3 linked regions of the Neurospora crassa OR74A genome follow. Each later gene encodes a partner of the first gene's protein in a complex. Links are inferred from orthologs where the notes say so. Each region holds a gene or a part of one and is shown in the gene's direction. Other genes may lie near its edges.

Region 1 (7,808 bases):
ATAAAAATGAGCACGAGCAGCAGCTTCCCCTTGTTTCCTCTTTCTCCTCCTGTCCGTGAACCACTGCCACGCAAACACCAAGATGACATAGAAGATGTAGCAGCCAACCATGGCGTTGGCCTCCCACAGGTGCAGTTCCTGGTCCAACAGGAACATCATGGTAAAGCTGATGGAAACAATAAAGTAAACGATATCTCGGACGAAGGTTCGTTTCTGGACCTTGAACTCGCGAACCAAGGCCATGGACCCGGCTACCACGGCAGTGATAAAGCCAGCAGCACCGATCAGCTCGCCCACCGCCATGCTCCCACTGTTGGAACTCATGGCGGCAAAGGTGCTAAAGACATCCGGGGAGCCATTGCCCAAGGCGAGGAACGTGACGCCGGCCAGGTTCTCGCTTAGACCCAGGACGCTCGAGATGGTGCTGAGGTTGATGCTGAAGAAGTCACTGGCAGCGATGCCGATCGTGGTAAATAGGAGGCCCAGCCATGCGGTCAGGACGGCGAAGGCGACGGGTTTCGCATTGGGTAGCGTGCAGTAGTAGAAGCTCAGGTAGTGTATTAGGCCGGCATCCTCGTCTTCGCAGTTGGCCAATATGAAGGCGCATTGGTCTTGGACCAGGTGGACATCGCGGCAATCGACGGGGGCGGTCGGTTCGTGCTTGTGGTGACCTCTTGCGAGGATTCGCGCAATATTATGTGGTTGTTGTTGATCATGTTCGGGTTGGCGCAACAACCGTGATGTCGCGAAGGGTCTGAGGACGAGCGCATAGGTTGCTAGACAGGTTATGAGGAGAGTCGACACGATAAAGGGTCGGGAGCTGAAGGGGCTCCGTTTCTGGCGATGTAGCGACATGCTGGACCTTTGGTCATGGCATCGCGTGGGGAATACTGGCTGTATGTGCTGGTGGTGGTGTGTTGACCCAAGGGAAGTGTCGCCACGGTGATGGATGATGGATGGATGGATGGACCGGCGGGGCAATCGAACGGCAGTTATCGTTGGGTCGCAATCGCAAATGTGATCGCAAGGTACGTATGTTGATGATGGCCGGAATTAAAAAAAAAAAAAAAAAGAGAGAAATTTGCCAGCAGCAGAAATAGAAAAGAAGAAGAAAAAAAAAACAGATAAGGCTACAAGTATGTCCAGTATGGTGTATACGATTGACGGGACGATGGCGTGGCTCGCGTGGGCGGGCGGGATTGCTGTGTTATGTAGGCGGAATGAGATCATCGTCGCAAAGTTGCCAAGGTGATTTCGGGTGGCCAGAAAGGTCGGATTAGGACTGGTGCGTCGAGGTATCCATGCGCCGCTTCTCTGAGACAAGACGATAGATTCATTGCATTGGAGATGGGTAGACGACGGATGGGCGCAAGGTAGGTATCTATTAGTGTAGATACTATAGGAAATAGGTGATTGGGAGAAAGTTGAACGAGAAGATAGAAGCTATCGATGTATGTAATCTAGAGTAGAGGCAAAGGGCAAAGAAGGAAGGCGGGGAATATTAAAAGAGGGTGACCTTCCTGGTTGGGCAGGAGACTGACATATCGCTGTGTTACCGTGTTCCTGATCTCAACAAGTTCCCTGCAGCAACCGAAAAGAAGAAAAAAATAAAAATAAAAAGGAAAGGAAAATCACGGAAAGGTAATGCTACCTTCTAACGTCTGCAGCCCCATGCGCAACCCGGTTGGACATGGAGACGCTGTTTCGGTTGGAGTCTGTCTTGACTGTAGAGTAGGAATACATACCTACTACAGATGCCTACTATACTTCTACAGTGCATACATACGCGAGCTCCAATCGATGCGGGTGAGGTGACCAACAGGAACGGAACTTCCATCTGAACTAACTCAAGAGGCTGTGGATTTGTGGCGACAAGAGAGATGAGTCTTGATCGCATCACAAAGAGGTCAAGACGGGGGAGGTAGCCCATATGCCCTGCCACTTGTACACTAGGTAGAGGTAGATATACGTCTCCTTTCTCTAGTTATGTAGGGAGTGCACATGCGTGACAACTTCGGACTCAGGAACTTCAATCGGAGTTTCAACTCCCCAAGTGAACCCCACATACAAGGTACACGTGTATGTAGTGTAAGTACCAGAAGGGGGGGGGGCTCTGTGTGATCGCCAACGGCCGCCGCATGTAACAGTATGTCCCTTGTACGTGTATGGATGTATCGATGCCCTGTAATGTACCGCTGTACCTGAGCGTAGTACCTTGACTGTAGAGGTAGCTTAGTCATTCGATGCCAAGCCCCCCAGACTTCCTCCCTTCAACTTCCTCACCCCGCTCTTAGTTACCTCTACCATAGTACTGCGTAGTAGGCCCCAGCACGTGCCGCCACCCGTCACCAGCCCGCCCGCTGAGACGTGGATCCGTCTAGCCCGTGTCTGCGCTACCTATCCAGCATTGGCACTCCCATCGTGGTTACGGGCGGGTCAAAGTAAACAAACACCACTGAAAGTCCAAACTAGACAGCGGCCGCCTGGAGCTTCACATCTTGGATAGCTTCGTCAACACCGCCAAGATGCCTCGCCTCAGCACAGGTCCGCGACGGAGCATGAGCAAGGGCCCTGCGGTGCCATCCCCGCTCAAATCCCCCGGCCTCAAGTACGTCTTTTCTTTGAATTGCGAATTGCGAATTGAACGTCTTGTCGCGTCCCTCTTTCATTTTCCTCCCTTGTAACTGACCAGAGATATTCGTCCCGACTAGAATCCCACTAAACGACGACGCCCAAGAAAAGGAACAACGATCGCGAGGACGCAAAGCCCTCCACGAGGCCCAGATCAACCAGCTCAAACTCGCCGCGACCGCAGTCGCAACCCCCGCCCGCAGCGTAATCGACGAAAATGGCACTCCGACCTCCAACGGACCGCGCACCCCGCGTCGCCGCATCTCTGGCAAGGAGAACTTCTCCATCCTCGACGACGATGACAGGCCGGTTGTGGGCGGCGCCGTCGTCACCCCCATGAAGCGCGTCCCCATCCTGGCCAACTTTGAGGAGTGGATGAAGATGGCCACCGACAACAAGATCAATGCCGCCAACTCGTGGAACTTTGCGCTGATCGACTACTTCCATGATATGTCGCTACTCAAGGAAGGAGACGGTGTCAATTTCCAAAAGGCCAGTTGCACGCTGGACGGGTGTGTCAAGATTTATACCAGCAGAGTCGACAGTGTTGCGACGGAAACCGGAAAGCTGCTCAGTGGTTTGGCCGACAGTCGCGACAGCAAGAAGAGGGATAGGGGCGAGGGCGAGGACGGCGGCGATGACGATGAGGAGGAGGACGAGGTGGACGAGAATGGCAACGTACTAAAGAAGCGTAGAAAGAAGGTTGGTTGCTCGGCTCACTGCTACGGGCGGGTTGCATGATACTGACAATTGCAGACCCAACGATCCTCCGAAGCCACCCTGGCACCCTCTTTCGCTTCCCTGCAGCTCAAAAAGTTCGAACTCGAATTCTCAGTAGATCCGCTCTTCAAAAAGGCATCAGCAGACTTCGATGAGGGAGGCGCTAAGGGTCTCCTCTTGAACCATCTGATGATCGATTCGCAGGGTCGCATCGTCTTTGACAGCAGCGACGACGCCATCGACACTCTCGACTCACGCAACCAAAAAGCCGCCGAGGAGAACGACCAAGATGCCGACCCGGACGCCATGGATATTGATGCGATGGAAATCGACGGCCAAACCGAAAAGACCCAGACCCGGACCCAACAACAAGAAGAAGAGGAGGAGGACGATGTGGAGATCGACATTGCCAGTCTTGGTGCTAGGTTCTTTCCCGATCTTGGACGACTAGACGAGATGGATGTGTGCCCATCGCTCAAGACTTTTATCCTCGGAGACCCCTCCGGATCCCTCGATATTCCCTTCCTCAGAGCGCCCGAGGACTGGCGCCAGGAGCAAGATAGAGCCAAGACCCCTGGCCTCGGCAACAAATCCGGCTTCATTATTGATGACGAGAACCCGCTCGGTTTCGATGACGATGATGCGCTGGGCGCATTCGACCTGGGAGGAGACGTTGACGTAGCCTTCGGTGAGGGTGGAGAAGCCTGGGCCCGCGAAGCCGCCATCGAGCCACAAATGATGCGGGTCTTTGACGCCGGTCTAGACATAGGAGAGGGCGAAGGTGGTGACGATGGTGATGGAGTAGACGGCGACCTCGAAATGATCGATCAAGACAAGGGCGATTTCGGCATGGTTAACATGACGAACGCCCAAAAGACGGACCGGCTGCACGAGGACATTCTCAGCTACTTCGACCAAGCCCTATCAAAGAACTGGACCAGCGCCGAGCACTGGCGCATTCGCAAGATCAAAGATGTCAACAAACCCCAAACGGGAGAACCACAACGCCAGCGCAAGGAGAAACAGGCTTTCGAGATCGACTTCTTCACCCCCGTGGATCGCACCCTTCACGACGTCCTGCACACCCAAGCCACCACCAACTCGGCCATTTCGCTGCCCAAGAAGGACTGGAAGTCCAAGTCGCGCAACCTGCTGCCGGACGACAAGCACTTCAGCTCCAAGCAGCTGCTCAACCTCTTCCTCAAGCCCAAGGCCCGTCTCGGCCGCAAGCAGCGCGCCTTTGGCCGTTCCAATGCCGACAACCAAAACCCAGACCAAGTCCCCGAGGGCACCATGGACGAGGCCTTCTGGGCCCAACAAAAAGCGCCGCTGAACCAGGGCCCATCATCGCAAGACGACCATCTACCGCAGGGTGACTACGACGCCAACTTCTTCCAGGATGACGGTCTGCCGTTTGCCAACGGCGGAGACGACGATGACGACGAAGACATGGACGAGGAAGTCTTTGCTGACGCACGGGATCACTTCTCGCCTGGCCCCGGTGGCACGCAAGGGGATGGCGCTGCCGGGAAAGAAGGAACAGCAGGACTGACGATGGACGTGGGCATGACGGGCGCGTTTAACGGGCTGACGGTTACGAACCCGGCCGATTTGGCGTTTGGCACGATGCTGGTCACGCAATCACGAAGAGTCAGGCCCGAGTATGTGCAGTATGCGAGACGGGCCAAGAAGGTGGATGTCAGGAGGCTGAAGGAGGAACTTTGGCGGGGGATGGGGATGGACATGTTGAATGGCGGACGTTTTTTTTTTTTTTTTTTTTTTTTTTTTTTTTCCTCTCTTCTTTTCTCCTCCCTGTTTTTCTTTTCTTTTTTTTTTTTTCTTTTTGTTTCATCCTCTTTTTATTTCTCCCAGTTACTAACAACACGAACAACAGATACCAACAACAACAACAACAACAACAACAAACCCCGAAGACTCCCTCCTCTCCCCACCCCCAACGACGACCCCATCCGCCCAACCACCGAGCTCCTCAGTAGAACCTCCCAAAGAAGGGGAAGAAGAACAGCAAGAAAAACCAACGCTCAAGTTCACAGAAGTCATGAACTCGCTGCAAAAAGTCTACCCGAAACAAGCCATGGACGACATCTCCACCAGTTACTGCTTCATTTGCTTGTTGCATCTTGCCAACGAAAAAGGGTTGGTGATTGAGAAGAGCGAGGAGTTGACGGAGCTCTACATAAAGAAGGACGCGAATGCTGTTGTTGAGGAGGGTGGTGAGTGAGTGAGTGAGTGAGTGATAGTTGGGCGCTAGATGGAGATAGATAGCATGGGGGTTTGTTTTTGGAGTGGATGTAGTTGTAGAGTGTGACGTTGATACCCCAGTTTAGCGGGACGGTTCGGTTGTTTTGCAACGACAACGGAGAGGAGAAGAAATAGTACACTAGTGAGTGAGCGAGTGAGTGAGTGAGTGAGATGGGTGGGTGGGTGGGTGGATTGGCAGGTTTCTTTCTTCCTTTTTTTCTCTGTCTGGGTGGGTGGGTGAGCGTATGAACCAGTATAAGGTATAAGGTATGGTATGATATGGTATGGTCTAGCACTTTGTGGTATATCAAGAATATGAAATACGGGTTACGGAATGGTATACCCAACGGGTCTCTGACAGTGTTGGTTTCCAATACAGAGAGGTGAGATGAGGAGGTATGTGGTACCAGCGTGAAAAAGATTAAGTGAAAGGGTCAACTGAAGTAAAGGAGCAAGGAAGAGCCTGTAAACAACCCTTTGGTCACGCATCATATCGTTCCCGAGGACTCTCCATTTTGTGTCTTCAAATCATCATTACCAATTATCTTCAATCCCTATATAGGCTTTTTTCTTTTACTTTGTTCTTCCATCATCATCATATCCCCACCCAACCCCCTTCACAGGTAGGTAGGTAGACCTCTGACACCCCCAAAACCCAAAACTTAAAGGTTAAAAAGCTTCCTCAGCTCGGCCGCCGTATCCTCCGGTCCGGTAACCGAGTGACCAATAGTCCTAGGATCCTCGTAAATCTCGTAGTCGTTACCGCCCTTGAAGGTCTTGTCGCCAAAGAAGTGGATGGTGTCGTACGTGATACCGCCGGCCTTCTTGGCCTCGTTCTCGAGGTGCTGCAGGCAGTAGGTCTTGTCCCAGCCGGTGGGGAAGACGTCGAAGGAGATTTGGCCGCCGATGGAGAAGCTGTTTGTTTTCCGTGTCTCTCTGTTAGCTTTGTTGTCTCGCTGAGAGAATGTGGGGGGGGGGAAGAGATCGAGCGAAGCGAGGTAAAGAAAAAAAAAAAAAAAAAAAAAAAGGCCGACCGCAGCAGACACCACACCACACCACACCACACTACCAAACGGGAGACAAGCAAAAGGAAAAAAAAAAACGAAAGAAAGAGCAGAGCAGAGCAGAAAGAAATACATACGTCAAACCCAAATGCCCAAACCTCTCCCTCAACTTCTCCACCATCTCCTTCCGCACGCCCGCCTCCTTATCAAACTTTTCAAACTCGTTTCGCTCCGCCGTGCTCGCATTACGGCCAATCGGGCTGACGTTGATCATGCCGTTCCGGTACTCGATAAACGTGCCGCGCTTGATGGGGATTTCCAAGTCGGCAATGTAGTGCAGGATCCAGCGCACCAGCTCCTTGTACTGGTCCTCGCCAATGTACTTGATGAAGCTGTTGGAGGGCAGCGGCTGCCCCAGCTTGTAGGCCGTCAAGCCGTTCTCGGCAAAGCAAAAGTCAAACAGGGTGGTGACGTCGGCCGAGGCGGCGGAGCCGAGCTGTTCTTGCTGCTTGACCAGGTCGGAGCCGCCGACGAAGCCGATGGCGCATTTTTGGCGGAGGGCCGAGAGGAGGGAGAGCATTTCGGGCGAGACGGTCTTGATCGGGGGCGGGGCGGGGCTGTGTTAGTTACATCGGTGTATACATACATTTAAAGAAGGGGATGGAATTAGGTGAAGCGATCACCACCACCAGCTGGCTCTACCAGAAAGGCAACAAGGACCGGATTCATAGAGCAGCTTTTAGAGGGGGGGGCAGAGAGGACAGACATACCAGTCTCGCGGGGGTAAGGGTGCCATCGACATCGAACAAGCAGATGGTGTTCTTGAGCGGGCGCTCCTCGAGAGGAGGGTAAGTGGTGACGGCGGGGGCAGCGGCAGCCATTGTGGTGATGATGATGGTGTTTTTGGTGTTGTGGTGGACGAAGATGGAACAAAAGGACAAGTAATAAACCCTGGAAAAGTGTACAAAGCTGGGGGGAGGGGGGGGAGATGGTCAACTAGACTTATATAAGTAAACGCCTCGCTGCGACGACAATGTACACTATGTATGTACACTTCTTCAGATCACTTGCCTCAATTAGGTTGTTCTGTCAATGGACGACGGAGGACAAGGTAAATTAGAGCGGGGCCCCCCCGAGGCGGTCAACGTGTTCGGTACCTTACACCTTCCTGGTTGTTTACACTACACCTCG
Region 2 (7,935 bases), on another chromosome or scaffold:
TGGATGATGCTGAGGGAGAGTTCTTGGCGTCTATAGCAATTCAGTGTTAGTCCACCTCTGGTTTACATGGTAAGCGCTGGGTTAGGGTTCAATGTGTGTACCACAGTATGTTGTGCAGTTTTGATGCTGCTTCACCAGGCCCAGCCATTTCAGGGGCTCGAACAGAGGTTAAACGTCCGTCAACGATATTCGTCCTCATTTGGCCAAATGATCTCGTCCATCGCATCGATATCTCGAATTGTACCGCCGTTGTCCAAATCAAAACGGTGGTTCATGGCGCATGAGAAATATACTTTTCGGTGATCCTATGGTCTAGTGATTGCTTTGAATGTGCCCGCTTTCGCTCTAATTCTCGATATACACAAAACCGCCAAAATAGATATTAATGCAAACCTGGCCAACTTTGCTGGCCCCCTATGATGAAGAAAGAGGACGCCATTATACTTAACTGTGATAACATGCTCATCATGAGTGGGGATCCCCCGTCATGATTCCAAAGCTGCAAATTACCCGAGAACCGATGCAAACGAGCGATCTATCTGTCCAAAGCTACAATTAGTCTGCCTTCTTATCCCTCCCAGCAAGATTGCCGCTGGGGAACCGCCCTCTCATCATTCCACTCCCACCCATTGTAGCGCTTCTTCCAGAGGTACCGACTTCAAAATTCGACAGTCCTGTGTCCTGTAAATTGTTAGACGTAGGATTGACAGGGCCTCCTCGATCATCGTCACTATTAGTGTCGGTAAGCTCGATGAGGTCGCCTTCTTCTGCCCCAAGAGGCGATCGTTTCGGTACGCCTAAAGAAGGCGTTCCCAATGGTCGTTTGACAAAGGCGCCTCGTAGCCAATTCTCGACCGCCGCAGCTGCTTTATCGAGGCCGGTGGACCCTTGGCCATTTAACCTCGAGGCATCGCCTCCGTCTTCAAAAGGACTCTCCACAATAGTTGGGTGCTCCTCAGCGCCGTGGAAACCGAGGCGGGCGGTTTCAGCACCCATAACAGCCATGGACGGTAGAGAGTCAATGTTGAGGCCCGGTAGATGTTTATTTGTCCACGTGTTGAAATAATCCTTCTCGGGCCCGGGCGCTCTTACATTCCGCAGCGAGCCTACACCCCCCGGCCGTCTCATCCATGCTGGCCGCGCATCATCTCCAACAAGACTAGGACGGCTTCCTATAAGACTCGTTCGGCGAGAAGATATGCTGCCGGGACTCATGGGACCGGTCTCTCCACTCAGGGTGGTACCCGGTACGTCCATTGACGTCCTAGGCGACGTCATCGTGGAAGTGGTGTTCATGCTCTTCCTCCGACGCGGGGGAAAGTATCCCAGAACCTTACGTTCTACTCGTGCGACCTCAACAGGATGAGGAAACGAGTCGAGTGATACCCAACGCACATGTGTCCATGGTCGCTCGTCATCATTTGTTGGTAATTTGTCGTCCCCGCCTCGATCGTTGGTTGAGGGGCCAAAAAACTCTCGGTTGTTGGAATTGTCTCGCCCAAATGGATCAGTTCCTTCCGGCGTACGAGCCAAGTAATCAACTTGAGTCCCTGAAAATGAGGGGCCTCCGCAAGGGCGCCCCTTGATCTCGCAGGCGTCGACAGGAATTGCAAGCCATTTGCGTATCTGAATATTGTCTCGAGACCATAGGCCGTTGGCCTTACGGAATGCGTCTTCACGGCACTTGTAGCGAAGCACAATCCCGGCGTAGGTATCGGTAGGTTGTACATGGTGAATGTACACCAGGTGCTCCGCTGCTTCCTGACTCTGAGAAGGTTCTCGCAAATCCTCGTCTGAATTACGCTTCTTGAACCTCCTGGAAACATCCAGGCCACCATTGACCCCCTCGTGGCTTTCGAGTACACTTGCTGTCCTAAGGGCCCTGAGACGCCCCTCCCGCTCGGTTAATGATCCTGATCCAACATCCTCCAAGCGTGGCCTCGACTCGTTTGGTGGTTCGGGACCCCAACTGCTGGAGCTCTTTTGTTTCCCAGCGGTTTGAGTTGCCAACCTTTCTGACCCGGTATGATATGATTCTCCACCGGTAAGCAGTGATGTGGTAAACTCCTGAACGGAGGCCCACGTCGAAGCCCACGAGCCATCGAGCAGACCACGGCCACCCCTGGGGCTACTTGTACGAGCGGAGCCCGCCGCGACCTCGAGTCTAGAATCGTTCCTCCCAGTAACATCTCCTATGCGTGCGGCGGGAATCGGCGAGGCCCCTCTGTCTGAGGTCCTGCTCGGGCTTGAGTAGAGGGAGGATGATGTTGCATTATTCCGGTTGCTCGCTACGCGGCGGTTCCGTGGCCGAAGAGAGTTATCATCCACTTCTGCTGAAGCCGACAAGAGAGCATTCGAAGGGGGGCGCTGCGAGAGACTCATGGCTTTGTGTTGATTGTGTCCTCGCAGGGAGGGCGCAAACCTCGGCGCCTTATGGTTCGTGGTTCGAAGGGAGCATCAGATAGCAGTTGTTCGAGGAACCATGGAGAGGGTGCCCCTTGCTGCTAGGCTGTTATTATTCTCTTTGCAAGTGTGTGACTGCTGGAGACTATGGGCACTGGTCGCAACGCTATGAGTGCCCTCGCTTCGTTTGTTTTTCCTCTCGAGATGCGCCGTAACGTGGAGTTCTCTTTGTAAGTTTATTGATGGAGACGGATTGCTCGCGGTGATGGCCCAATCGGTTGAAGCTGGGCTGGAGATCGGATCCGGTAGGACGTCGAGACAAAGGTACGGCGGGTAACAGGTCGTTGCGATTAGGTGGTTAATTGAAATGCGCGTCATGAAATCACAAAAATGCCACCAATAGCCGAACAATGATCTTGAACGGGAGACGCTCAGTTTGATGGGAAAGCTGGAGGGTGAAAGGTCCAAGAGCTTCCACTTCACTACGGTAGGTTGTGACGAGCTGGAGGAATCGATGCGCAAGCAGGAACGTGCCGTCCAGGTTCCCACTCACGCAGGGCAGTCGTGCCACTGTGTTCTAGTTGGCGGCGTCCCCGGCCTGTGGCCTGAATGGAGGCTCCCATAGGTATCCCGGAGGGGGCTCCCGTCGGCCAGTTCAGGGCCAAGAACCGGGCATAGCGGGGACCATGCCTTGCCTCCCCGGCCATGCCGTGCACTTGAAGGAAAGGCTCCACAATGTGTTTTGGCTCTGCGCCATGTACAAATCAGGCCCGTTTTGCATGGTCTTTTGGTACGTAATGATTTACTGCTCCAGGCCGAATCAAGGGCCTCGCAAGACGGAGAATAGGATCCCGCGTAGAGCTTCCTGATCTTATGTGCGCCAAGCCGAGTTACTTGGGATCTTTGCCGACGAAAGGGTCATCATAAATGGTGATAGACCAAAAAGGGGTACATATACATAGCCAGAGCACGGACCCAGTGTCGCAGAGAGCCACTTGCTACATAATCCCCACCTTTGTGAGCATCGCGCCAGGGGCAGGCGGGCACGTGCAGACGTGAATGCAGGGCGCCCTGTCCTGGCCCACACCCCGCCCTTCCCCCAAACCCAGTGGTGCCTGAGAAAAGTAAACAAACGTTGAGTCCATCTTCCGATCTTGTTGCAATTGTTCGGGCAGGCGCGGGCGTTTCTTACAGCAGCGCCAAAGTCTGAGCCACCACAATCCTCGGGCCCAAAACCACGACGACGCCAGAATGAGGGTTACCGAAGTCATTATCGACGTACGTGTTTCTCCACGGTGCCATCAGTCGCGACCGGACCGAACGTGGGATGCGACAACTTGAAGTCGCGACAGAGCTGACATATTCGTGCCTCACATAGGGCTTCAAGTCGTACGCCGTTAGAACGGTGATTTCGGGATGGTAAGGGCACAAATCCATCAGGGCGATGGAAGGCATCCTCCCAACTGCATAACTAACCGGCCGTCACAGGGATGAGAGCTTCAACTCCATTACCGGCCTCAACGGCAGCGGTAAATCCAACATCCTCGACGCCATCTGCTTCGTCCTCGGTATTACCAACATGTCAACAGTCCGCGCTCAAAACCTGCAGGATCTTATCTACAAACGAGGCCAAGCTGGTGTCACGAAGGCTAGCGTTACCATAGTGTTCGACAATAGAGACAAGAAAAAGTCACCAATCGGATTCGAAGAGTATGCGACCATCAGCGTTACCCGCCAAATCGTGCTCGGAGGCACCTCAAAATACCTGATCAACGGTCATCGTGCGCAGCAACAAACCGTACAGAACCTCTTCCAATCGGTTCAGCTCAATATCAACAACCCCAACTTCCTCATCATGCAGGGCCGCATCACAAAAGTTTTGAATATGAAGGCCGTTGAAATCCTGGCCATGATCGAGGAGGCAGCTGGCACAAGGATGTTCGAGGACAGGAGGGACAAAGCACTCAAGACGATGGCCAAGAAGGAGATGAAGTTACAGGAGATCAAAGAACTCTTGCGGGATGAGATCGAACCGAAACTGGAGAAGCTACGAACCGAAAAGCGCGCATTCCTCGACTTTCAGCAAACACAAAACGACCTGGAGCGATTGACAAGGCTCGTGGTGGCGCACGATTACGTAAGGTGTCAGGAGAAGCTACAACAGTCAGCATCGGATCTTGAGGCGAAGAAGCAGCGCCAGAAAGAACTTGAGGAATCTGCTATCCGGCTGAAAAATGAGATATCCCATCTGGAGGAGGACTTACAACGGGTTAAGGCACAGCGCGACAAGGAATTACGAAAAGGTGGCAAGGCTCAAGCCCTGGAAGAAGCAGTGAAGAAGCACGCCAACGAGCTGGTAAGGCTTGCTACTGTTGTGGATTTGAAGAAGAGCAGTATGAAGGAGGAGCAGGAACGGAGGAAAGCTGGAGAGAAGAACGTTGCGGACCTGGAAGCGGCGCTGAAGGAGAAGACGAAGACGTACGAGAAGATCAAGGCGAAATACGATGCCGCCAAGGAGACGCTTGAAAAGCAGAGGCAAGAAGCAGACACCAAGGAAGAGCTGCTACAAACCCTGCAAACTGGTGTTGCGTCCAAGGAGGGACAGGAGAACGGTTACCAAGGACAACTACAAGACGCGAGAAACAGGGCCACGGCTGCGGCAACTGAACAAGAGCAGGCAAAGATCAAAATCGCCCATCTGGAGAAGCGAATCAAAGGGGAAGAACCCCGGGCCAGGAAGGCCAAAGAGCAAAACGCCGGCTTGCTGAAGGATCTCGATGGCCTGAAAGCCCAGGCTCAGAGGCTTGAGAAGGAGCTTGGAAGGCTTGGGTTCCAACCCGGGACGGAGGAAGAAATGTATAAGCAGGAAAGCTCGCTCCAGCAGACTATCCGCAATCTCAGGCAAGAAGCCGATGCGCTTAAACGCAAGGTGGCAAATATCGACTTCAACTACGCCGATCCAGTCCCAAACTTTGATCGATCAAAAGTGAAAGGGCTAGTCGCGCAACTCTTTTCATTACCCAAAGAGTATATGGAAGCTGGAACAGCGCTGGAGATCTGCGCTGGAGGCCGTCTTTACAACGTGGTTGTTGACACCGAAGTCACTGGCACACAACTACTGCAAGGCGGTAGATTGCGAAAGAGGGTTACCATCATTCCCTTGAACAAGATCTCTGCTTTCAAGGCTTCTGCACAAACGATTGCCAATGCGCAACGAATCGCTCCAGGAAAAGTGCACCTGGCTTTGTCCCTAGTTGGGTACGACGATGAAGTGTCAGCGGCAATGGACTATGTCTTTGGAAATACGCTCATTTGCGCTGATGCAGACACAGCCAAGAGAGTGACGTTCGATCCAAATGTCCGCATGAGGAGCATCACAGTGGAGGGTGATTCGTACGATCCATCTGGTACACTATCGGGTGGAAGTGCCCCCAACTCGAGCGGCGTTTTGGTTACTTTGCAGAAGCTCAATGAAATCAATCGGCAGCTGAAGGAAGCAGAGACCGCCCTCAATGAGCTACGCGGCCAAATTTACCGGGAAAAAACGAAACTTGACCAAGCAAAGAGAATCAAGCAAGAACTTGACCTCAAAGCCCATGAGATCAAGCTAGCGGAGGAGCAAATTGGCGGCAACTCATCATCATCGATCATCCAAGAGATTGCAAATATGAAGGAAACAATAGTCCAACTCAAGCAGTCGATCATGGAGGCCAAGCAGCGACAGGCAGAAGCCACCGCCGAAGCCAAAAGAATCGAAAAGGACATGAAGGACTTTGACAATAATAAAGACGCTAAGCTTGTGGAGCTGCAAGCTTCAGTCGACAAGCTACGTGCGTCCCTGGACAAGATGTCTGTTACAAACAAGGCGTTGCAAAAAGAGCTTCAGGAGGCGCAACTGGACTCCGAGCAGGTTGCTGCGGATCTCGCAGCTGCGCGGGAGCAGGTTCAAGATATCGACGTTGCTCTCAAAGCCCAGCAGGAGGAGATCGACGACATAGTGAAGCAAGGAACAGTCCTTCAAGAGACCCACGACGCCGTCCTAGCACAGCTGGAAGACGAACGGACCAAACTGCATGTGTATGACGACGAGCTCCGGGCTTTGGAAGATGCTACCAGATCCAAGAATGCTCGAATCGCCGAGGAGGGGCTTGAAATGCAGAAGCTCGGTCACCAGATCGAGAAGTTCCACAAGGAGCAGCAGCAAGCCGCGCAGACAGCCTCACACATGGAGCGCGAGCACGACTGGATCGCCGAGACCAAGGACCAGTTTGGCCGGCCCGGAACGCTCTACGACTTCAAGGGCCAGAACATTGCCGAGTGCAAGTCCACGCTGCGGAACCTGACGGAGCGTAGCCAGGGCCTGCGCAAAAAGATCAACCCAAAGGTGATGAACATGATCGACAGCGTGGAGAAGAAGGAGGTGTCGCTCAAGCACATGATGCGCACCGTCATCCGCGACAAGCGCAAGATCGAGGAAACCATTCTTAGTCTGGACGACTACAAGAAGAAGGCGCTGCAGGAGACGTGGGAGAAGGTCAATGCCGACTTTGGACAGATCTTTGCCGAGCTGTTGCCGGGCAGTTTCGCCAAGTTGGATCCTCCCGAAGGCAAGACCATCAGCGAGGGCTTGGAAGTTAAGGTGCAGCTTGGTAAAGTGTGGAAGCAGAGCCTTACCGAGTTGAGTGGTGGTCAAAGGTAAATTTTTGTTTTTCAAAATCTTTTTTTCTTCTTCTTTTTCTTTCTACCGCCTCCCCCAATTCAACTCACCTCAGCCCGTCCTTTCATCCAAAAATCTCCCATCAAGCCTACTAACTTTGTCGTCGTCCAGATCCCTAATTGCCCTCTCCCTCATCATGGCTCTCCTCCAGTTCAAGCCCGCGCCCATGTACATTCTCGACGAAGTCGACGCGGCGCTCGACCTGTCGCACACGCAGAACATTGGGCGTCTGATCAAGACCCGGTTCAAGGGCTCGCAGTTCATCGTCGTCAGTCTCAAGGACGGCATGTTCCAGAACGCCAACCGCATCTTCCGGACGAGATTCAGCGAGGGAACGAGCATGGTGCAGGCGCTCACGCCGGCGGATTTGAAGTGACATGTTCACCTTTTAGGCAGATATACTTGTATGATCAAAGGCTGGGATTGGGATACCGAAGGGCGGAGGAAAAGGAAGCAGGATGGTCGTTTGTCAATGAACTTTGGGCGTGATGTCATCTGGCTTGGTTGAGTTATGAATGAATTTGTAGCTCTTACGCTTCATGTGTAATTGTGGGAAACGAATATGGAGAATCGACAATTGGGAGCTCGAATCAACGAACAAATTTGGTGTCTTCAACTCGGGACATTCTGGCGTGCGGTTATTGAGCTGACACATGGAAGCGACGTTTATGTACTAGCCTTGACCTAACCTCGCTGATTTTTATTGTTCGGGAGTGATCCTATTCCTTTATTCTTACAGTCCAAGTCTACCCACTGGTGCACTCCATCTGGATAGCGACGGTATTTCCCCCATACCCGTTGGTCTACGTTGCTTA
Region 3 (7,643 bases), on another chromosome or scaffold:
AGCCGTTATAGTTAGTCCCTAAAGACACTGTAAAGTCAAAGGGAAAGCCTTGGACGGTCAGGTAGGATATATCCCTCCAATGACAACTTTTTGTGATTGACTGGCATATATAGCATCCCTCGTCTGCCGCTCGAAGGAGGTTGTGTAGACTCGAGTGATGTGGAGTCCCCCATTTGAACCCTTTCGGTTGCCAGTGGGGTACAAAGCGGTTGCAAACCGCGCATAGGTGGGTCGACATTATGGCGTTTAGGCGGGACTTGTTCAAAGTGGTGGATTGGTAGTAGTAATGGTAGGAATGTCACGGTGTTTTGCGTTGGAGGGAAGAAAGATGGAAGACATTGACGTGGCACGGCGGGAGTTTCGCCGGTTACCGCCTGGAGATTAGAGTGGCAGGGAAAGAGTGAATGGGTGCCTTCCACTGCTACCCAACTGCCCGGGCGGAGAGAAAGTTGCTGGTACAAAAAAACGCCCCACGATTCTTTTACCGACAAAAAGAGCCAAAACTCACCTCAGCCACTCCTCAGTTTTTCTACTCAATACCTTTAGAAGTAGATGCACTTAACGAAGCAATGAGGTGAATGATTCTAGTATTCAAGTTAAGGTTGGTATCAAATTCGTCTTTTTTGTAATCGGGTGACTGGTGTCAATTATAGAGCGTAAAAGTAGAATTCAGTTATGATGAACTTACAGCGCATTAGGTACAGTGGGTAGAAATCGAGATGCTTACATGTAGAAGTGACTTTGGTACTTGAGATCTCGCGCTTGTCCTCAATGTACATTCTCAAACAGATTGTACCATGATTTCCTATTAGTGATTTCTGTACCTAGATTTCAAAGTAATAGTTGCGATCGGACTACACAAGCAACAAAGAGCTAAAGAAGTTCTGTTCAGGCCTTTTTTGGTGGTCAGAATTGTCTTTGAGCGGTTTTTTTTTTTTTTTTTTTTTTTTTTTTTTTTTTTTTTTTTTGGATGCCTCTTTCAGTTGATTGAAACCAATCAGGAACGTCCAGTCATTACTGCCAGTCAGCGAGACTCGACCTTCGTTGCTGCAAATCGAAAAAGCAAAAGAGCATTCTCGTCGGTTTGACGATAAACAGTCATAAACATGTTGACTCAGGTGACCATCTCCCCATGGCAAGACCCAAAAGTATCCAAACGCCGTCGCTATGCCCGTTGCCAGAGATCAACCTATCGACAGAAAACTGCCAAGCTATGAAGGTATACCCACAACTCTTTAGCCTCACGAATAACCAGCAAGGTTCTCCAGAGCGGCAGTGCTGCTCAACCTCCCCGTCACAACCCCTCTCATCCTCAAAAGCGCATTTGCGCCTTTACTCTTCCTTCCTTCCCCGTGCCTCAAGTACTCCTGAAACCAGCTTTCCTCCTCGCCCGTCAACGCCGCGCTAACGAGTTCCTTGCCCCTCGCTCCTAACTTGTCCGGCTGCTCTAGAATGGAAGCTACTAACCTTTCAAACAGCTGCTGGCGGGTCCACTCCGGGTAGCGACGCGAGAAATCGAGTGCTTCGGTGACGTTAGTACGAGCAAGAGCGCCAAAGAGCAGCTCGAGAGCCTCGGATGAAGTAAAGACGGGCTGGGCGGCGTGGAAGTAGGCGAGAGCTAGCGTGTAATCGCTCTGACTGGTGGAGCTGCGCTTGTTGACGAGCGGATGGCGGACAAGGGCGATGGTGATTTCGTCGGCGAATTCGGTGGGGAGGGATGGGTGGGTTAGGTTTTCGATTGCGTACTGTTTAGCAGCGTTTGTTAGCGTCTTGATGTCCAGTGTGCAACTTAGGTTCCAGAACCAAACGGACGTCCGCACCTTGAACTCCATGCGATCCATGTGCCACAGGCCCCTCATAAGGATCTGGTACTTTTTCGGCAGTCCCGTCTCCTCAGCAAAGCTGTCCGCCCAATGCGAACGACCTGGATGGACGTCATCATGGTCGAGGAGGAGATAGTAAAGAACGGATATCTTTTGGATCGACGAGGCGCTGCTCTGGCAGATTTGTTGGTGGAGGGAGCGCAAGCCGTTCTCACCTCTGGGCGGATATGCAGTGCCTAGAGGTAGTTACAGTGGTGATTAGCGATGAAGCGCGCTATAACGACAGGGCATGGGTTGTTAGGGTGATTAGGTGGTAGTGTGGTGTTTACACTACACTAACCTTGGGCGATGCCTAACCGACTTAGGACGCGATCCACAAACAGGACGCCGCCCAATGATTTGCGGAAAGTCTCAATGGCACTGGCTCCCTTGTGATCGTAGGGGTTTATGAATCCCGGAGAGGGGAACACGTTGTTGTATTCTGTATAGTCGAGCATCGTGATGTTGAAGTTGGATTGCACAGTTGAAGTGCCCAAGTGTCCTTAGCTGTTGAATGAATTGAATGGAAAGGGAAAAGGGAAAATCGAAGGGATGGATGAGTGCCGTCATGGCCTGGGATACATGTATGCAACGGCCATCGGGTCCGTCAGGTCCATCCCCTGCACCTGGAATGGAGCCTTCCCCGGATCTGTACCTGCGCTAGGTAACGGCCTGTCTTGGCTTATCGATAAGGTAAGAAAGCCGTAAGCGCATGGAATGTTTGTTACACAGAGCGGGACTCCACCAGCCTGCCACGCATGCAGTGATAGCGCAACACGGTGCGAGCGTTCCAGGCAGCGGAGGGGTCGCCCGCTGCAGTGCACGAATTGCATTGGCTGCCCGTGGCTGCTGTGGCTGATTGTTTACCACCGCAGTCACGGTATTGCAAGAAGCGTCCGTCCAAAAACTGCCCTGAATGTCAACAATCTAACCGCGGCGGGGCAAGGAAGAAGCTGCGACAGCACTCAAAGAGTTTCTGCGTGGGCGTCCCATTCCGTGTCTGTCGCAACAACTGCCCTGCGAAATGTGAATACCATTTTTCATCTTTACTTGTTATTACATAAACTTTCACTCCTTGGTTGTCTGATACCCGCATCTTGCAGCGCTTTCTGTTCCATTCTGTTCTGTTGTTTTCATCATCGAGTCGAGAATTTGCAGGCCGAAACCACCGACAGACATCAGTCATGTCGACGCGCCCATCGCGTCGGGCCGCCGCAACCAGGCGCGCCGCCATCATCGAAGAATCCTCATCAGACGACGATATCGCAAACACCACATCGAGAGGCGCCCAAGATGACGACGAGGAGGACGATTATACACCCGCGCCAGCTTCGGCAGCCCGCAAGACTGCTCAGCGAACCACCAGAAGATCCACTGCCACGCCCGCTCCTAGGGCAGGAACACCAGCAGCAGCATCATCATCAACTGCACCGGCACCGGCACCAAAAGCTGCGCCGAAAAGGCGCGGACGACCTAAGAAGAATGCCGCGCCCAAACCCAGCAAAGAGCCCAGTGTCGAACCGAGTGTCGAAGCGAATAACGATCCCCAAGCCGAACCCGAAGCCCCAGCGCCTGCCGTCAAGCCAAAGGATGAGCCGATCGAGGAGGGTATCGACCCCAATGTGACTGTCGCGTCTGCCGTTTCGCCCGCTACAACCGCCGTGATCGCGGAGCCAGAAGCACGGGATACGCAAGAAATTCAGTCACCCCCGCGGAAGCGTAGAACTCTTGTGCGGCGCCTCAGCAGATCGCCAGCAAAGATCATGCAGCAACAACTCGAGCTGCAACAGCAACAAGCCAGCCGTCAAGGGACACCAACGCCAGGCTCTCCGTCAACTCAACGCGTCGATCGCCAACCTGCTCCTCTACAGGACATCACCCAGACCCTCATCAACCTACCACCTCCAGCGACCGCGGCATCAGAGACCCTTGTCAACACACAGCCAACATCAACAGCAGATGAAACCGTCGTGGCGGCCCAGAAGCCCGTCAGGGCTATGGATACTATTCTGGAAAAGCCCATGGATATTGTGCTCAAGTCACGGACCATGGCTCTTCCCGTCGTCGAGGATACCGGCCCGAAGCCACGCATTGTCATCACCAATCTTGTGCTCATCAACTTCAAGAGTTACGCCGGTAGACAGGAGGTCGGCCCCTTCCATGCTTCGTTCTCTTCGGTCGTGGGTCCCAACGGTTCTGGCAAATCCAACGTCATCGACTCGTTGCTGTTCGTCTTTGGTTTCCGTGCCAGCAAGATGCGACAAGGCAAGATCTCGGCCTTGATTCACAATTCGGCGCAGTTTCCGAATCTCGACTACTGTGAGGTGGAAGTGCATTTCCAGGAAGTCATGGACTTGGTAAGTCAAACATTGTTTTGAAGGGGAGTCATTGTGCTGACATTGATAGCCCGGCGGTGGCCACGAGGTTATCCCCGACTCAACACTCGTCATCTCGCGCAAAGCATTCAAGAACAACTCGAGCCAGTACTACATCAACGGCAAATCATCCAATTTTACCACCGTGACCACGCTACTCCGCGACCGTGGTGTCGATCTGGATCACAAGCGTTTTCTCATTCTCCAGGGCGAAGTCGAATCGATTGCCCAGATGAAGCCCAAAGCCGGCAACGAGCACGAAGATGGTCTGTTGGAGTACCTAGAAGACATTATTGGCACTTCCAAATACAAGACACCAATTGAAGAGTCGGCCACCGAAGTCGAAACCCTCAACGAGATCTGCATGGAGAAGAGTGGTCGTGTCCAGCACGTGGAAAAGGAAAGGAACAGTCTCGAGGACAAGAAGAACAAGGCGCTGGCGTATGTTCGCGATGAAAACGAACTGGCGCTGAAACAGTCGGCTCTCTACCAGCTATACATCAGCGAATGCGACGACAATATTGCTGTCACAGAGGAGGCTATCGGTCAGATGCAGGCACAACTTGACGCTGAGCTTGAGAAGCACCACGGCAGCGAACAGCTCATCAAGCAGTTGGAAAAGGCCTACTCCAAGGGTAGCAAGGAATACGACTCTTGGGAGAAGCAGACACAGCAGCTGGTCAAGGAGATGAACAAGTTCGAGCAGGAACGCGTCAAATTCGAGGAGAAGCGGAAGTTCTTGACGGACAAGCGTAAGAAGCTTGAGAAGACGATCGCTAACGCCGAGAAGACGGCTGTTGAAGCGGAGGAGACCATTCAGAACTGCACCAAGGAGATTGAGCGTCGTCAAAAGGACATTGTTTTCCTGGAGAAGAAGGTCAAGGAAGAGGAGGCCGAGCTTGCGACGATACGTGAGAGCCTCAAGGGCAAGACGCAAAAGTACTCGGATCAGATCGCGGCAAAGCAAAAGTCTCTCGAGCCTTGGAAGGACAAGATCAATCAGAAACAGTCCGCCATTGCCGTTGCGGAGAGTGAGCTGGCCATTCTCAGGGAAAAGGCCAATGCCGGAACTGTGGCCCTTGAGGAGATGGAGACGAAAATTGTGGCCATCCAGGAAAGGCAAGCGGCGAAGGCGGAGGAGATGGAGCAGTGCAAAGCTGAGAGAGCGAACCTGATCAAGGAGGGCAAGAAGATCGAGGCTGAACTTTCCAAGCTTGCGGAGGAGGAACCCAAGTACCGGCAACAGCTTTCGAATGCCCGCCAAAAGGCTGACGAGGCGCGGTCGAGCTTGTCCGCCACACAAAACCGAGGCAATGTCTTGACTGCCCTTATGCGCATGAAGGAGTCGGGTCGTATCGATGGGTTTCATGGACGACTTGGAAATCTCGGTGCTATTGACCAGAAGTACGATATTGCCATCTCTACAGCCTGTGGTGCTCTGGACAACTTTGTCACCGACACTGTTGAGGCCGGTCAGCAATGTATTGAATATCTCCGAAAAACCAACCTCGGACGTGGTAATTTTATGTGCTTGGACAAGTTGCGAGTCCGCGACATGTCTCCTATTCAGACTCCCGAAAACGCCCCTCGTCTCTTTGACCTTGTCAAGCCCAAAGACGACAAGTTCCGACCTGCCTTCTACCATGCTCTTCAGGACACATTGGTCGCCAAGGATCTCGCTCAGGCAAACCGCATTGCCTATGGCGCTAAGAGATGGCGAGTAGTGACCCTTGCCGGCGAGCTCATCGATAAGTCAGGTACCATGACCGGTGGTGGCACTACAGTCAAGCGGGGTCTGATGTCCTCCAAGCTTGTGGCTGACACCACCAAGGAGCAAGTTGACAAGCTTGAGGCGGACCGTGATACCTTGGAGCAGGCCTTCAACGAGTTCCAAGACCGCCAACGAGAACTCGAGTCCCGTCTGCGCCAGATCCAGTCCATGATTCCCCAGCTTGAGACCAAGATGCAGAAGATCAACCTCGAAGTTGAGAGCTCGGAGCGCAACCTTGCCGATGCCCAGCGCCGTATCAAGGAGCTCAGCAAGGAGCAACAGCCTTCCAAGACGGATGACAACCGCGTCGCCGCCCTTGAAAAGGAAATTGCCAAGCTTGAGGGCGAGGTCGAGAAGCTGCGCGAGGAGATGTCCTCCGTCGAGGATGAAATTAAGGCTCTTCAAGATAAGATCATGAAGGTAGGTGGTGAAAAGCTTCGCTCTCAAAAAGCCGCTGTGGACTCGTTAAAGGCAGAGATCGCCACGCAAAACGAGGAAACTTCTGCCGCCGAGGTGAAGATGGCGAAAGCGGAGAAACAGAAGCACAAGCTAGAGAAGGACTTTAACAAGGCGTCTAAAGAGCTGCAGAATGCCATTCAGGAGACCGAGGCTCTGGAAGAGGAGATTCAGAACCAGGGCGATACTGCCGAGAGCCTCACGACCCGTGTTGAAGAGGCCCAGGAGGCACTCAAGGAGAAGAAGAAAGAACTGGCAGCTATGAAGAAGGAGCTGGATGAGAAGACGGCCGAGCTCAACGAGACAAGGGCGGTGGAAATTGAGATGCGCAATAAGCTCGAGGAAAACCAAAAGATCCTGTCTGAGAACCAGAAGCGTCTGCGCTACTGGGAAGACAAGCTCTCCAAGCTCGCCCTCCAAGACATTGAAGATCTCGAGCGCGGCACCAGCGGCGACGCAGCAGCACCTCAACAACTTGCCGACCCTGATGCCATGGACGTCGACGACCCTGATTCCATTCTCCAAGCCCAACTCGAGGCCGAAGCCGCCGAGGCCGAAGAGAACGAGGAGGACGAGGAGGAAGAGGAGGAGGAGGAAGACGAAGATCCAGAAGCCATGTCCCTCGACGAAGACGACGAGGAACCTCGCCAGCGCAAGCAGAAAACCCCCAAGAAGCAAAAGCAAAAGCGCCGTCAACAAACCGGCAAAACCCCGCGCAAACCCCGCAACCCCCTCGAACTCCCCCGCTACACCCGCGACGAGCTAGCCGACATGTCCAAAGAGAAACTCAAGGGCGAGATCGCCGCGCTCGAAGAGAAGATCTCCAACGTGAACATCGACCTGTCTGTACTCTCCGAATACCGTCGTCGCGTGGAAGAACATCTCGCGCGTTCTTCGGACTTGGCCTCAGCCGTCTCCCAGCGCGACGCCGCCAAGAAGCGTCTCGACGAGCTCCGTCGTCTGCGATTGGAGGGCTTCATGGAAGGGTTCTCGACCATCTCTCTTAGACTAAAAGAGATGTACCAGATGATCACCATGGGCGGCAACGCAGAGCTGGAGCTGGTGGACAGTCTGGACCCCTTCTCGGAGGGAATCTTGTTCAGCGTGATGCCGCCCAAGAAGAGCTGGAAGAATATTTCTAATCTAAGTGGTGGCGAGAAGACGTTGAGTTCTCTGGCG

Evidence for each region.
Region 2: the proteins of NCU02828 (region 1) and NCU07679 are in contact, whole or in part, in a cryo-EM structure (PDB 6YVV), measured with the Saccharomyces cerevisiae proteins. The link is inferred for Neurospora crassa OR74A from reciprocal best matches to the Saccharomyces cerevisiae genes BRN1 and SMC2. Residues at the interface, in NP_009455.3 of Saccharomyces cerevisiae: Trp49, Ile54, Phe57, Tyr58, Leu60, Leu63, Glu67, Asn68, Asn69, Ile70, Phe72, Gln73, Ala75, Ser76, Leu79, Asp80, Cys82, Ile83, Tyr86, Ser87, Arg89, Val90, Val93, Thr94, Thr97, Leu100, Leu101, Leu104; in NP_116687.1 of Saccharomyces cerevisiae: Ala169, Gly170, Thr171, Lys172, Glu175, Arg178, Glu179, Glu182, Met185, Ser186, Glu189, Arg196, Leu199, Ile203, Lys206, Leu207, Asn992, Lys995, Met1003, Lys1005, Thr1006, Lys1009, Asp1010, Met1012, Lys1013, Glu1016, Lys1020, Tyr1024, Lys1025, Glu1027.
Region 3: the proteins of NCU02828 (region 1) and NCU09063 are in contact, whole or in part, in a cryo-EM structure (PDB 6YVU), measured with the Saccharomyces cerevisiae proteins. The link is inferred for Neurospora crassa OR74A from reciprocal best matches to the Saccharomyces cerevisiae genes BRN1 and SMC4. Residues at the interface, in NP_009455.3 of Saccharomyces cerevisiae: Leu101, Lys108, Ser693, Ser712, Thr713, Ser714, Phe715, Phe717, Ile718, Leu721, His722, Ala724, Asn725, Leu729, Gln730, Ile731, His733, Asn736, Tyr737, Asn738, Leu740; in NP_013187.1 of Saccharomyces cerevisiae: Pro175, Val184, Gly185, Pro186, Asn187, Ser189, Ile363, Glu367, Lys368, Leu371, Asn1385, Phe1388, Leu1394, Val1395, Gly1396, Val1397, Tyr1398, Lys1399, Arg1400, Thr1407, Thr1408, Ile1409, Lys1410, Asn1411, Ile1412, Asp1413, Ile1414.

What each region holds. Positions count from the first base shown.
Region 1 is NC_026501.1:8,974,231-8,982,038, reverse strand, and holds NCU02828 (condensin complex component cnd2), read left to right. Parts: upstream 1-2,525; coding exon 2,526-2,608; intron 2,609-2,711; coding exon 2,712-3,333; intron 3,334-3,387; coding exon 3,388-5,049; intron 5,050-5,245; coding exon 5,246-5,593; downstream 5,594-7,808. Other genes in the region: NCU02826 (sodium/calcium exchanger protein), read right to left, coding at 1-855; sec53 (phosphomannomutase), read right to left, coding at 6,276-6,528, 6,755-7,212, 7,388-7,498. UniProt on the Saccharomyces cerevisiae protein: Regulatory subunit of the condensin complex, a complex required for conversion of interphase chromatin into mitotic-like condense chromosomes.
Region 2 is NC_026504.1:2,261,267-2,269,201, forward strand, and holds NCU07679 (nuclear condensin complex subunit Smc2), read left to right. Parts: upstream 1-3,360; 5' UTR 3,361-3,654; coding exon 3,655-3,681; intron 3,682-3,781; coding exon 3,782-3,822; intron 3,823-3,891; coding exon 3,892-7,098; intron 7,099-7,231; coding exon 7,232-7,496; 3' UTR 7,497-7,834; downstream 7,835-7,935. Other genes in the region: NCU16785 (hypothetical protein), read right to left, coding at 556-2,382. UniProt on the Saccharomyces cerevisiae protein: Central component of the condensin complex, a complex required for conversion of interphase chromatin into mitotic-like condense chromosomes.
Region 3 is NC_026507.1:493,813-501,455, forward strand, and holds the start of NCU09063 (nuclear condensin complex subunit Smc4), read left to right. Parts: upstream 1-2,745; 5' UTR 2,746-3,046; coding exon 3,047-4,219; intron 4,220-4,268; coding exon 4,269-7,643. Other genes in the region: NCU09062 (hypothetical protein), read right to left, coding at 1,242-1,745, 1,821-2,059, 2,164-2,320. UniProt on the Saccharomyces cerevisiae protein: Central component of the condensin complex, a complex required for conversion of interphase chromatin into mitotic-like condense chromosomes.